Tamandua tetradactyla: one gene and its partner. The protein of the gene in region 1 interacts with the protein of each later gene in a pairwise test. Links are inferred from orthologs where the notes say so. Each region holds a gene or a part of one and is shown in the gene's direction. Other genes may lie near its edges.

What was found.
Region 2: the proteins of PTPN6 (region 1) and leukocyte-associated immunoglobulin-like receptor 1 interact in binary tests that used the Homo sapiens proteins (3 or more experiments, as listed by UniProt). The link is inferred for Tamandua tetradactyla from reciprocal best matches to the Homo sapiens genes PTPN6 and LAIR1.

Annotation. Positions count from the first base shown.
Region 1 is NC_135333.1:69,241,320-69,248,459, forward strand, and holds the start of PTPN6 (tyrosine-protein phosphatase non-receptor type 6), read left to right. Parts: upstream 1-3,993; 5' UTR 3,994-4,218; coding exon 4,219-4,232; intron 4,233-7,140. Other genes in the region: ATN1 (atrophin-1), read left to right, coding at 4-184, 335-368; C7H12orf57 (protein C10), read left to right, coding at 2,013-2,064, 2,394-2,570, 3,266-3,417. UniProt on the Homo sapiens protein: Tyrosine phosphatase enzyme that plays important roles in controlling immune signaling pathways and fundamental physiological processes such as hematopoiesis.
Region 2 is NC_135342.1:5,118,265-5,126,366, forward strand, and holds the start of leukocyte-associated immunoglobulin-like receptor 1, read left to right. Parts: upstream 1-5,034; 5' UTR 5,035-5,040; coding exon of another isoform or gene 5,041-5,082; intron 5,083-5,092; exon of another isoform or gene 5,093-5,286; intron 5,287-8,102. UniProt on the Homo sapiens protein: Functions as an inhibitory receptor that plays a constitutive negative regulatory role on cytolytic function of natural killer (NK) cells, B-cells and T-cells.

The DNA of each region.
Region 1 (7,140 bases):
CAGCTGCCCCCTACCGGGACTTGCCAGCCTCCCTCTCTGCCCCGATGTCAGCAGCTCACCAGCTGCAGGCCATGCACGCGCAGTCTGCGGAGCTGCAGCGCCTGGCACTGGAGCAGCAGCAGTGGCTGCATGCCCATCACCCGCTGCACAGTGTGCCGCTACCTGCCCAGGAGGACTACTACAGGTATAGGGCACCTGAACCAGGAGGGAGGGCAAGTGGGCTCAGCCAGCCTGGAGATGGGTGTAGGCATGCTGGGGTAGGGAACTTGGGCAAGGAGGGGTCAGGTCAGGGTCAACTGGAGTCTCTACTCACTGCTTTTACCCCCATCCCCAGTCACCTGAAGAAGGAAAGTGACAAGCCACTGTAGAATCTGTGACCAAGAGAGTACCACGGCCCTTGCATCTGGACCTTGGAGGCCCCCCCTCAGCCTGCCACCCAGAGCCCAGGAGAGAGTGCTGCTCAGTTGCAGGACCTCCGTGGTTGGGCAGAGGGAGGGAATGTGTGGGGAGGTGGCCAGGGTGGGGGCAGAAAGCGCACAGTATCTTGGACCAGGACCCTCTTCTTTATCCCCTGCTTTCCTTCTCCCCCATACCCAAACCCCCGGGCCACGGCCCCTCCCCATCCCGTTGGTGTGATTATTTCATCTGTTAGACGTGGCTGTTTTGAGTAGCATCGTGTGCCGCCCCGCCCAATCCCCGTGTGCGCGCGCCCCCTGCGATGTATCCCCCTCGTCCCTCCCCATATTAATAATTTATATATATAAATATCTATATGACGCTCTTTAAAACACATCCCAACCAAAACCAAGCAAACAAAAATATCCTCACGACTCTCGAGGAAGATGGCTGCGACTGGTTCTTTGCGGGCTTTGGGGGCTGGTGGTGCGGTATACTGCTGCGGTGCCTGGAGAGGCTGGCAGCAAGTGGGAACAGACGAACCTTTTGAGGGAACTGGGTGTGGGGACCCCGAATTGGAGAGGGGATCTTGGAAGACTAATGGGTTCGTTGGGGGGGTGCCACTCCCCACTCAGTGCTCGCTCCCTCTTCCCCCAAGCTTGGGGAAGACACTTATTAGAGGCCTGGAATGGGCCAACCTCTGACGTGGCTTGGCTAGAAAACTACTCTGGTCCCACAGCTGCAACCCCCCAAAATCCTCTGGAACAAAGATTTCAGAATCCTGCATCCTTTCCATGGAATAGTTGGAGAAATGATTATAGGGATGAGGTGAGCTTAATCTCAAATAGGTCAAGAACCCCGAAGCTTTAATTACCCTTGGATTTGAAGAAGGAGAGGCTGGCAATTTGAAAAGCCTTGAAGGTAAGTAAACGCGTCACGCTGCAGCACCTATTCCTGCACAAAGCCTTTTTAGGGAAATGCAAAAACTGCGCTTACTCCAGGCTTTTATTGAGCCAAATCGATGTCTTCATTCTTAAAAATATTCAGGGTTGGGGTGTGACTGGCTGTTCTCTCAGCCAATCAGTGTCGGTTCATTTGCATAGGCTCGGGAAAACCGTTCACAAACTCTAGAAATGAACGATTTAAATAAGTTCCTCAGAATACTGCTTTTTTTTCATGGGAGTGCCAATATGTCTCGCGGATTATATATTAATGAGAACTAGGAATAAATAAACAATTCTGCTCCGAATTCACCCTCATCAACAGTGGAGTCCGAAGGTATTCCTATTCTCTCCAGGACACACGTTATCGGTGTTGCAGCTCTTTTAGAATTTGTCTAGTAGGTTTTCTGGCTTTAGCCGGAAAACCCTCGTTTTTGTTCGAAATAATAGAGCTAGGTTTACAGAAATTCGGTTGTTTGGTTGTGGGTTCCGTAGTGTTTGTGTGGTGGTCTTACATATCCCGCCGTGGAGTGTTAAAGGTTATGCGAGAGTAACTTCCGGTTGCAGTAGGTTGAGTTTTTCTCAAACCACCTCTGGCCACGGAACAGCTTTCGGAGTCGGCTCCTACTTCCCGCTCCTTCCCTCGCTACGTTATATCCGTAGCAATTCGTCCGTATGGCGGCTGCTTCGGCCCAAACCGCACCCCTGAGCGCCGAACAGGCGAAGGGTGAGGAAGCATTCCCAGTTACTCGTGTAGACCATCTGCTGTTGGGAGGATGAGGGTGCAGGATCGGGAGACAATAGTGGCTGTCATCGTCGGGGGTAGGAGGGAAGGATGGGAGGAGAGAGGATGGAGCTGTCGCGGGGTGCTGTCTCCTGCTCCTGAGTGGGGTCCTGCCCCCTGAAGGTAGGGATTAGGGGCCGAGTTTATCGGGTGGGCTGCCGATGGCCTCGGCCCACTAATTCCTGGCGCATTTTCCTGCTCTCTTGTCCGGACCCACCCACGGTGGTCCACCGCCTCCTTCGGGCTCTTCCCTGGATGGCCCTGGCGCACAGTGGTTCTAGCCGAGGTGATCCAGGCGTTCTCGGCCCCGGAGAACGCTGTACGTATGGACGAAGCTAGGGACAACGCGTGCAACGACATGGGCAAGATGCTGCAATTTGTGCTGCCCGTGGCTACGCAGATCCAGCAAGAGGTCATCAAGGCTTATGGTTTTAGCTGCGACGGGGAAGGTGGGTAGACGGGGTATGGGGGTGGGTCGGGGAGAGGGGTGGTGGGGCGCTCGTGCCCCTTTGCCGTCGTGCCCCTTTTCGCCACAGGGCGGCGGCCACAACCCAGCAGTGTTGACGCCAAGGATCTAACCTCAAATTGTGCCAACCCAAGTCTGAAGTCCATTTTGTGGTTACCTGTTAAACATTATATTATCCCATTGTAAGATTAAGAAACAGACTCTATCTGTAAAGTAAATGCCCAGAGTCGCAGCAGAACTGGACTTCTAGCAGTTTAGTGTGACAACCACAAGATGTTTGGCGCCCCCGTCACAGTGTTTCAGCTAATATCTTTTTGGGGATTTGTGTGATTCAATCCCAGCTGTCCTGTGATCTCCTGTGTTGGTAACAGACCTGGGATCTTGTGGACGTTCATACTAGGGCTCTTGTGACTTAACTGTTAAAATGGTTCACCTGAGAGCGAGGAGCACTTTACTTTGGGATTGTTTCATTCACTGTATTCCCAACTGGTTGTGCCCAGTGTAGACCAGGAAGTGGTTGATCCAAACCACACAGGATAGAGGCCAGCTGGTGTCCTGTTTTTCAGACAGCTCCCTGGTAGTGGGGGAGCAACCTATGAGGCATGTTCAAACTGCCCCCTCCTGCCGTCTTGGTCCAGCCCTCCCAGGCGTGAGCTAACTCTCCACTCCCTCTTGCAGGTGTCCTTAAGTTTGCTCGCTTGGTCAAGTCCTATGAAGCCCAGGATCCTGAAATTGCCAGCCTGTCAGGCAAGCTGAAGGCTCTGTTCCTGCCGCCCATGACACTGCCGCCCCACGGGCCTGCTTCTGGTGGCAGCATCGCTGCCTCCTGAGGGGGTTGGTCCTTTCCTGTTGCCCAGTGCTGCTGTCTGGGAAGGGAAGGCCTTGGTGTTTCCAGAGGATAATAAACGTGCCTGTGTCTTGGCCTCTGCGTCAGTCTTTTGTGATCCTGACAATCTCCACCTCCTGTCCCCTGATTCCCTTTCCGTTCCAGGCTGCCCCACATCTTCTCATCCAGATCCTTCCTCTGTGCTCTGCTGGCCTCCCACCTGGAGCAGGTGAGGGTCTCAGGCTCCTCAATCCTCCCCATCGCCCACAGGGTGAGAGTATGGGCTGGTACCCTTGACACCAGGACAGGTGGGCCTGCACTGTGGTGGCACTTCCTTCTCTGAGGAATTAGACTTCCAGGGCTTTTACATCGCCTCATTGCTTTCTGTGGATTGTGAGTTTCCGCCATTGGTTGACGTTCCCTTTGCCAGGGCTACTTCCTGGTTTCCCGGCACCTGCCTTCCTGCTGTCCTGTCAGGTGGAGCGCCAGATGACTCCTCCCTCCCAAGGGAAGGAGGCCCTGGATAGGCAGGCAGGCCTGTGGGACAGTAGAGTGGAGCTGGAGGGGAAGCGGGCTGTTGTGGGCGGTCTGAGGCCAGCCCCGCCCCACCTGTCCCTTCTCCGGGGATCATTAGTCCAGGGGCTTATCCTAGCAGTGCCATTGGCCTGGCGGGTGGGATTAAGGAGGAAGTGGCTGAGTTCTGAGCGACTTCCTCTCCTGGCTGGGCCACTGTGCTTAGCTTGCCCCTGGTTTGGCCCCACCCCCTGCGGCCCACTGCCTGTGACTCCTCCATCCCTCCAGGGACATGCTGTCCTGTGGGTAAGTCCCCTGTCTACGTAAGTCCCCAGGCTTCCGTAAGTTTGGGAGGGAGGGGCAGGTATGTGACCATGAGTGGGACCTTCTGTGGGTTTGCTTCCTGTGCCAGTGTGTCCCCCTCCCCAGGATGTGAGGACTCCTAAGCGCATTCATGCCCCCTGCCCCCTTTTCTCCTGCCTCACAGATGTCTGTCTATTCTCACCATTGCCCATGAGAGCTGGCGCCCTGGGTAACCACATTGTCTCAAACATAAGCCTGAAAGGCAAACCTGAAAAAGCGTTCCTGCTCCCACTCAACTTCCCCTTCACATCCCAACCTCTGGCCTTGGTTCCATTCCCTTTCAGTTGCCCTGAACTTTCCCATTTCTCACATCATTCATTCAATAGGAGACTACTGAGCATCTGTTAGGTGCCAGGGCCTGCTTAGGTGCTGGCAATGCAATAGTGACAAAGACCCGGACGGCTCCTGCTCTCATGTCCTTCTAATAGGAGGCACCATGTAGCAATCAACCCAACAAAATAATTTTAGATCCTTACAGGGATTATGTAGAAAAAAGAAACTGCTCTAGTGCTTGCAAGTGACTGGGGTTGCCAGGGGCATTACTAGCTGCAGGGATCAGGGAGGATTTCTCTTAAGGAGGTGTCCTTTGAGCTGAGACCTGGATGATGAAGAAGAGGCAGCCAGCCATGTGGTGATTGGAGGTCAAGCTCCCGCCATGGGCCGAGGGAATGGCAGGTACTGATGTGGAAACAAACAACAAAAGGACAGAATGCCTCAAGCCCAGTAAATTGGAGGAAAGGCAGGCAGGGCCAGGGCAGGCTGTGCCTTTTCTAAGTGAAGTCCTGCTTAGAGAGTGTTGGTAAGTTTGGGCATTGCTGAGCACCCCCAGTCCTGTGGGTCCATGCTTCTCACACTCACATCTGCCCCTTCCTTTCTGTTGGCACTGCCTCCCCTGCTGCACACCCTCCTTGCTGTCAACCCCCACAGACAGGATTCTTATGGGGTCTCTGGTCCCTGATCCCTTTCACACTCAGGCACCTTGGCATGGCCTCCCCCTTGCAGAACCTTTCCTTGGCTCCCTGGCCTGGCCTGGGAAGGCTATCTGCAGCTGGGTCCCAGTCTCTCGGGCCAACTTTGCTCAAGCCACACTGCTCAGCTCATGTCCAGCACTGCCCCTCAAGTGTCTTCTGTGCCTGCTGCCTCTGGGCCTTTGCAGATGCTGCCCCTTGTGGAATGCCTGCCCCCTTCCTTTTCTACCATGGACTGTTCCAGTGACCACCCCACCTGTTCCATGAAGCCTTCTCCAGGAGTATGGTTGGTGTGGTGGAAAAGGCAGTGGGTCCTGGCATCAGTCGAGGTTTGTCCATCTTCCCTCTTACTAGCTTGTGACTTGGGCATGTTACATAACCCCTCTGCACCTGAGTTTTTATTTCCAAAGTTGAGCTATCAATACCCACTAAAAGGTAGACATGAGGATTAATAATGTCATGTAAAATCTGTTGGCCCTGAAAGCTATCACCTATCAGCTTTTTATATCAGTGTTTGGGAAATATCATTAAGCCTATTTATAGGTGGGGATACTGAGACTCAGAGGAGTTAAACTACTTTCTAGAAGTTGTTTCACCTCGTCTGCCCTTTGCCCTTTCAGACTGCTTGTCTTTAGGTCTCACCATTGATCTTGGTCTCCGCTTTTATCTCCTTGTTTCCCAAAGGAGTAATTTTCTGTTCTGAATTATCAGGCTCTTAATATGTAACTCCCAGCTGCTCTAAGCCAGTTTCCTCCCCTTCAAAAACGTAGAAGATATTCCTACATCACAGGTCCATCCATGGCCAAAATAGGATTATGCACGTGCAAATGCTCTGCTAACTCAAGAGCATGGAACAACTATCAAACTTTATCTTTCTTCCTAAAAAAAATTTTATTGTGGTGACATGTATTCAACATAAAATTTCCCATTTTAACCACTCTCGAGTATACCATCAGTGGTAATTACGTTAGCAGTGTTGTGCTACCATCGCCACCGTCCATTACCAAAATGTTTCCATTGCCCCAGACAGAAACCCTCTACCCAGTAAGCAGTGACTCCTCGGTCCCCACCCTTGCCCCAGGAACCTGGAGTCTACTTTCTGTCTCTATGAATTTGCATATTCTAGTTATTTCACATAAGTGAAATCATATGATATCTACCCTTTTGTGTCTGGCTAATTTTGCTCAAAATGATGTCTTCAGGGTTCAGCCATGTGGTCGTGTGTATCAGGACGTCATTCCTTTTTATGGCTGAACAGTGTTCCCTTGTATGGATAGAACACATTCTGCTGATCTTTTCATCTGTAGACGGACACTTGGGTTTTGGGTTGCTTCTACCTTTCAGCAACTGTGAATAATGCTGCTATCAACATTGGTGTAAGAACATCTGTTTCAGGCCTTACTCAGTGGTTGGGGGTTATTATTTTAAAATTTCCCTGCCAAGGGGCAGCAGAGACTGACTGTCCATCTCTTTGTGTCTCTACCTTCTGACTGTGCACATTTCAGATAAATTCCTGCATCTTTGATGAGTCAGGAGTTTCTGGACGCTTAGTTAGATCTTTCCCGACAAGTAGGTTTAAGCTGAGGAGAGAGAGTGGGTGGAGCCAGGGTGCAGGAGGTATTTGGTGCTGAGCACGGAGCTGAGGTCTCACATGTGGTCAGGACCCGGTGCTCATGTGTGGGCGTTTACACTGGACCAGATATGTGCTGGACTTGTAGATTTTACTATTTGTCCTTAACTTTTTTATTGTCGTATAACACATAATAATGTGCCTAATGTGATACGAAACATTCCTAGAACCTCAGAAGTTTCCCAGAAATTGCTGTCTCCAAGTCAAGTTATTTATTTTCCGGGAGGTAATACATGTCCGTGATACAACATTC
Region 2 (8,102 bases), on another chromosome or scaffold:
TTTGTACCAAATAAATATTTTTTGCTTTAGTCTAACACATAAATTGAAATTTTTAAATATTAATTACCATCTATTTTCAGTACCCTGCAGTAATGACATTCCTTTGTTCTTCCTCATGCACAAGCATTTTTTAAATTTTAAAAATTTAATCCAATTTTTTTAAGTGAAGAAATGAGAAAAAGACTTGAATAGACACTTCACAAAAAATAAAAAGGATATTCAAGTGATCAAAACCGTAAGAATATGTTATTTAAAGAGAAGGAGGAGTATAACAGAGAAGATGGGATTTAACAAATGAGTATGACTGTTGAGTCATTATATTGGCATTTCTGCTAGTCTCCAGTGTCTTGGAGTAGCTAGAAGAAAAAATTAAAATTCATGGAACTGTATCGTATATTGTGCTGGTTTGAAAGGGTGTATATACCTTAGAAAAGCCATGTTTTAATTCTAATGCTATTTTGTAAGACCAGCCGTTTCTTCTAATGCCTATTCAGTTACTATATATTTGAAACCTTAATTAGATCCTCTCCCTGGAGATGTGACTCAATCAAGAGTGGTTGTTGAGCTGGATTAGGTGGAGACATGTCTCCACCCATTTGGGTGGGTCTTGATTAGTTTATGGGAATCCTATAAAAGAGGAAACATTTTGGAGAAAGCTTGAGAATCTGAGAAAGCAGAGAATGCCACAGAACCACGAAGCAGAGAGTCCATCAGCCAGTGACTTTTGGAGAAGAAAAAGGAAAATGCCTCCCGGGGAGCTGGAGAGGAAGGGAGGAGATGACGCCATGTTCACATGTGCCCTTCCAGCTGGGAGAGCAACCCTGACTGTATTCACCATGTGCCCTTCCACTTGAGAGAGAAACCCTGAACTTCATTGGCCTTCTTGAACCAAGGTATCTTTCTGTGGATGTCTTAGATCAGACATTTCTATAGACTTGTTTTAATTGGGACAGTTTCTCCGCCTTAGAACTATAAATAGCAACTTATTAAATTCCCCCTTTTAAAAGCCATTCCATTCCTGGTATATTGCATTCCAGCAGCTAGCAAACTAGAACACATACCAAACTGCTCCATAGCTGCTTATTAAAATGTACTTGGAAATTTATGGCTTTTTTGTATACATATTGTATTTCACAATAAAAAACTTTAAAAAGCCATATGAAAATGTTCTTAACTGTATTAGTTATCTGAGACTTGCAAACTAAAACTGCAGTGAGATATCACTATACAGGAAAGTGTGGCTAAAATAAAAAGAGCTGGTGAGTGCGGGGCAAGGTCAGCATTCAAATGCACTGGGTGGGAGTGTGAGTTGGTAGGACTGCTTTGAAAAGCGTTTGGCAGCGCCTACTAAAGTTGGACAGAATATGTACCCTGAGACATGGCAATTCCAGCCCTAGGCCAATACCAGCATAAATGCACAGATGTGTACTAAAATGCTCAAGGGGTGCTATCCATATAGCCTAAACTCTAAACTAGAAAATGATTATGAACACTGGAATGGATAAATGAACTGTGGTTATTCAAACAACTGAATATGAACAGATTGATGAAAATTGATCATTTACAGCTACATGCACTATTATGGACAAATCTGACAAATATCTGGTTGAGCAAAACAAGCCAGGCAGGCACAGGAGATAAGAGCATTTCCAGATCTCTATGAAGAGCCATTTCCCTTAGAGAGAAGTTCCTGGAAAGCAGAATGAAGAGGCTTCTAAGGAGCTAATTCTCTTTATTAATCAGGTTGGTGGTAATGTGGATGGGCTTAATTTGTGAAAATCTATCAAGTGTTGCACGTCGTATGTGCACTTTTTGTGTATTTCCTTCAATAAAAGTAAGCACGCACATATACCTGCTGAGATTCACCATCGTAAAACTGCTAAAACCCGAAGACCAAGAGGAAATCTTAAAAGTATTGAAATAAAAAGAACACATTATTTTGAAAGGGGCAACAATAACGTTGATGGCTTATTCGCAACAGAAATGATGGATTCTGATAACAATGGAATACTGGAAGAAAATTGCCAATCTAGACTGTAGAACAAGAGAAAATGCTCTTCAAGATTGAAGGTGAAACAAAGACATTTTCAGACAATGAAAAACTGATTGTATGCATTACCAACAGATGGGTACCAAAAAATAAAATGCTCAGGCAAAAAAAAAAAAGTCCCAATGGAAACAAAGAAATGCATGGAGGAATGAACTGGAAAAGGTCGCTATTTGGATAAATGTAGGATTTTTAAAATGATTTCCTCATCATTAATGAATTAGTAAAATGTTGATGCATTCTCACTGTAGATTTGATGAGATTAAAAAATTATTGTCACCAGTTCAAAGGTGATGGTGGAGTTATACAGGGAAGGCAGGGTTTAACAAATGAGTATGATTGTTGAATCATTATATTGATGTCTCTTTTAGTCTCCAGTATCTTAGAGCAGCTAGAAGTAAAAACCTACAATTGTGGAATTGTCACCCATACCAAATTCTGAAGTCTGTTCTACAATGAATGTGGTGATTTGCTTTGAATTTTATTGCTTTTTGTATATGTACGTTATTTTTCATAGAGAAAAAGAAAAAAAACATCGATTGTGATGATAAAAAAATATTTATTCCTTCTAGCCTCCAATGTTCTGGAGCAGCTAGAAGGAAAAATCTGAGAAGATGTTATGGTAACCCATGAGAGACAATAGGATCTGTCCTGTAACTACTTGTCGAAGAGTGCTTTAAAAACTACTGCTTTTTTCTTTCTTTGCTTTGTATCTATATTATATTATACAGTGTTCTAATTTGCTAGCTGCTGGAATGCAACACATCAGAGATGGATTGGCTTTTAATAAAAAGAAATTTATTTCATTAGTTCTTCAGAGGAAAGGCAGCTCACTTTCAACTGTGTTTCTTGCTTATGCAGGAAGGCACAGGTGGTCTCTGCTGGCCTTCTCTCCAGGCCTTTGGGTTCCAACAACTCTCCCCGGGGTGATTTCTTTCTGTACCTCCAAAGGCCTGGGCTGAGCTGCGAGTTGCTGAGATGAGGTATGCTGAGCTGCCTGGGCTGTGCTACCTTGAGCTCTCTCATTTAAGCACCAGCCAATTAACTCAAACATCATTCATTGCAGCAGACACGCCTCCTAGCCCACTGCAGATGTGATCAGCGACAGATGAGGTTCATGTACCATTGGCTCATGTCCACAGCAACAAAACTAGGTGCCTTCACCTGGCCAAGTTGACACCTGAATTTAACTACCACACACAACAAAAATTTAAAAATTGCAACCATAAAGTTAAAAAATGGCAATTTACATATATACACACACAGATAGATTTTTTTTTATGAAACTATATTTACAAAAATGCAAGGGAAATTTGAAAAGATTTAGGAGTTTTGTTACTTCAGGGGAGGAAGGGCAGGGTCAAGATGGGGTCAACCACAGAAATAGATATGGTTTCTCTTTTTACATGTGCTGTTTAATTTCCTCTTAAATGGCCTCTGGGAGTATGATTTAATGTAGCCAGTGGTATGCTGGCAAATGTTTAATAATCATCTCTCTGAAGGAAAATACCTGAATTGTAGTGTTTGCCAGTTTCCATGGTATAAATGTTCATGCCATGACCAATTTCAAGTTACCAACGTGGCGTCGCTGAACGTGGATTTGGGAAGAGGTGTCATCACTAGTGTGCAGGAGCTGGTGTGGGCTGGCTCCAGCGTTTCACTAAGTCTAATATTAAGGAAATTGAAATTTGTAGTAATCCAAGGGCTTAGGGTTATAGGGCTATCTATTCTTTAAGCAAAACAAGAACAAGAAAGAGGGAGAAAAGAGAGAGAGAGAGAGAGAGAGTGATGGGGAGGGGAAGAATATTAATTTGGAACATTAATCATGAGTATTTAGATAGCCCCCTCAAGAAACACCTTTTGAAAAAAAAAATCCCATTTTGTAGAGGCAGAATAATCCCTATTCAATATTGCATGTAATTAGATCATCCCCCTGGAGATGTAACCCAATCAAGAGTGTTTGTTAAACTGGATTAGGGGAGATGCATCTCCACCCATTTGGATGGGTCTTGATTGGTTTACTGGAGTCCTATAAAAGAGGAAACATTTTGGAGAATGAGAGATTCAGAGAGAGCAGAACGACATAGCTGTGAGGAGTAGAGAGCCCACAAGCCAGCAACCTTTGGGGATGAAGAAAGAAAACTCTTCCCGGTGAGCTTCACGAAACAGGAAGCCAGCAGGATGAGAAAGCCAGCAGATGATGCCTGGTTCGCCATGTGCCCTTCCAGCCTAAAGAGAAACTGACTGTTCTCGCCATGAGCCTTCTCACTTGAGAGAGAAACTCTGAACTTCATTGGCCTTCTTGAACCAAAACATCTTTCCCTGGATGCCTTAGATTGGACATATCTATAAACATGTTTCATTAGGACATTTTCTCAGCCTTAGAACTGTAAACTAGCAACTTATTAAACTTCCCTTTTTAAAAACCAAAAAGAAACACCTTTTACATGTGTCATGCTTTGCTAGTTGAGTGGAATTCCAAGATATTATTGATAACTGGAGGACCTTCATGAAGGAATGCTTATCATTTTATGAGTGGTACTGAGTCAAAATTCTAGTTGTAATAATCATTTGAATATATGCTCCAAGCGTTTTTACAAGAATAACATGCTAACATATTTAGTTGGTAAAAGAATAGTGTACATTATAGTAAGTAGACCTTGTAGTTAAGAGACGGATCAAGGTAAATTTTTAAAAAGCCTCGATGAGTTTAGCATTTGGTAAAACCAAACTGTGACCACTTTGGATATGGAGATTGGGACAGAACCATGATTCATGCCAAATATTATAACTTTGGGTCTCATGTAAAAAAATTCTAGGATGCTATGTTCCTTCTTCAGCACCAACCCGAAGAAGATGAGAAGTAGGAAGAAACTGCTCATTTTCCTATGTGGTTGCCAGCTTGTGAACCATTTGAACTGTGGTGCTGGTTGCTGGCCGCCACATCCTGTGCATTTTTCAGTTTTACTGGGCTCCTCCTTCCTATGCAGCAGATGCAGTTTTGTGCCTCCCACATTCATCACCCGCTATTCTTGGTAAGTCTTGCCATGGAAGGGAGAAGAGGGTCATGTTGGAAAATCTTGGCCTGAAGATCATAGCAGAGGGCTGGAGGTCAGAGCCCACAGGAAGCTGAGCTCATCCATGGTCCAGGCTTAGTTGGATTCATACGGAGATGAATCACCCATCATGAGTATTTTCTTCCATGGTTTCATCTGGGCCAGAAGATCTTGGCATAAATAGTGAGTTGATCCCTTCTTCCCAGCACCCTTAGGTTACTTTATTGGCTGAACACAAAGGGTTTTCCCAGACCGAAATGGTGGTGCTCATAAAGGTGGGCTAAAGCGGATGACTCAGAGAGGGCTTTGCACTTGAGTCTTCTGGAAAGAGGAGACCCTGGAATACTCTGGGTTCGTATGGCTTTCTGGATACCGCCCCCCTCCCCCACCCCGACACTCTTCTCTGGCTGAACCAAACTGGGCATATTAAAAAACTGGAGTCTTTGGGATCTAATTAGATAATCTGTATAATGAAGGAAAGACATGGGGGTTAGGACCAGGATTTAGGTCAAGTTCTCCCGTCTGTCCATGAAATCTCAGATGTGGGTGGATGTTGCCTCACAGTCTCAGGAGGGCTTGGTCAGCCTGCAGTGGCCATGCTGGAATACTACTTGAATTTTGGAATATTCTAATGCAGGCTTGTTCTAGTTTGTTAGCTGCCAGAATGCAATATACCAGAAACGGAATGGCTTTTTAAAAGGGGAATTTAATAAGTTGCTAGTTTACAGTTCTAAGGCTGAGAAAATGTCCCAAGTAAAGGAAGTCTATAGAAATGTCCAATCTATGGCATCCAGGAAAAGATACCTTCGTTCAAGAAAGTCAATGAAGTTCAGGGTTTCTCTCTCTCTGGAAAGGCACATGGTGAACACAGTCAAGTTTTTCTCTCGGCTGGAAGGGCACATGGCAAGCATGGTGTCATCTGTTAGCTTCCTCTCCAGCTCCCCAGGAGGCATTTTCCTGCTTCACCTCCAAAAGTCGCTGACTGGTGGACTTTCTGCTTCATGGTGCTGTGGCACTCTCTGCTCTCTCAGGTTCTTAAGCCTTCTCCAAAATTTTTCCTCTTTTATAGGATTCCAGTAAAGTAATCAAGACCCACCTAGAATGGGTGGAGACACATCTCCACCTAATCCTATTTAACAACCACTCTTGACTGAGTCACATCTCCAGGGAGATAATCTAATTAAGGTTTCAAACATGTAGTACTGAATAGGGATTAGAAGAAACGACTGCCTTTACAAATTGAGATTAAGATTAAAACATGGTTTTTCTAAGGTACATACATCTTTTCAAACCAGCACAAGCCTCATCTTTTAATAAAATCTCATGTCTCAATTTATGTCATTTTATTTATGCAGATTTTGTCTTTATGGTTGACATTCAGTTTTTATTTAATTTGAAATATTATTTATGTGTCAGAGTCTACTAAGAAAATGATTATTCCATTCTTGTGCCACACTTCAAGTAAAATTTTTGTTCGAGAAAGGTGCCCCATGCCTACCCTAGGTGAAGTGTTTTCCTGATATGGCACTAAGATGCCTTGGGTGTGAATGTCCTCCTGCTTGGAGATGAAGGTCTTTAAAGAATGCACCTTCTGAGAACACTGGAGAAGGGACATCTCCACAATCACATCTGTATCCATGAGAGTTCTCCAGAGAAACACAACCTACAAGAAATTACACATATGTATGATTTATTCTTAAGGAATTGGCTTACACAGTTGTGAGGGTTAGCAAGTCCTAAATCTGTAGGCCAGGCTGACAGGCAAGAAATTCCAGTAAGATTTGGTGTTGCAGCCTTGAGTCTGGAATCCATGGGGGAGGCCAGCAGGCTGGAAACTCTGAGAGGAGTAGAGGGTTTCATCTTCAGGTAGAATTCCAACTGAGTAGATAAGGCCCATTCACATCAACAAGGGTCAACTCCTTTACTTAGAGTCAACTGATTGCAGATGTTGATCATAGCTGCAAAATTCCTTAAAGCAACATCTAGGCTGTGTTTTGACCCAACATCTGGATATAATAACCTAGCAAGTATGACACATAGAATTAATCATCACAACTCTCTTAAGGGAAAACCCAGAGTAGCTGTCCCAGTGGTCCCTCTGACCTTCGTTTGTGTTGAAACAAATAAATGTTGAGTCTGCCCTCTGCCTTAAGGTAGTCAGCATACAGTATGTCCCCAAGTCCTTCCTGCATCAGAAACTACACACAATATTTAAAGTATGATGGTACTACCAGTCAGCATTCAACCAAGAAAATAAGAGTTGTTCTATGCATTTAGAAGGAAGAGAACTAAATGCAATGTGGTACTCTGATCTGGATCCTGAGACAGGAAAAGGACATTCATGAAAAAACGGATTTTGATAGTTAATTTCATGTATCAACTTGGCTGGGTTATAGAGTCCAGTTGTTTGGTCAAGCACTGGCCTGCTGTTACTGCGAGGGTATTTTGTGGATTTAAATCACTAGCCCAGTTGCTTGCCTCTACGTCTGATGACATCTACAATCAACAAAGTAGATGGGCCTTCAGCAAAGAGAGAAGTCTCATCCAATCAACTGGAGATCTTAAAAGGAGAAGTGAGGATTTTAGCAGTCAGAAAGAAGAATTTTTATTTCTAATCTAGATAGATAGTTTTCTCCTGAGGAATTCAATATCCCTTTCATTGAGTTTCCAACCTGCAGCCTGCAAGTTGAGCTTACCTATCCCTATGATTGCATGAGCCAATTGATATAATAAATTTCTTAATATCCATATCTATCTATCTATCTATCATCTATCTATCTATCACGTACTGTTTTGACATGTGTACCATGGTTATGTACACTTGTTGTGTATGGTTACGTGGTTGCATAATATGGTTATGCCCAGGCTAATGGAAGCTGGTTGTAAGATATATAGGAACTCCCTACTTTGTCTTAGTAACTTTTCTGCACATCTACAATAGTTCTAAGATGAAGAGTTTATTTAAAAAAGAAGTTAGCAGACAACTATTTTCTAAAAAT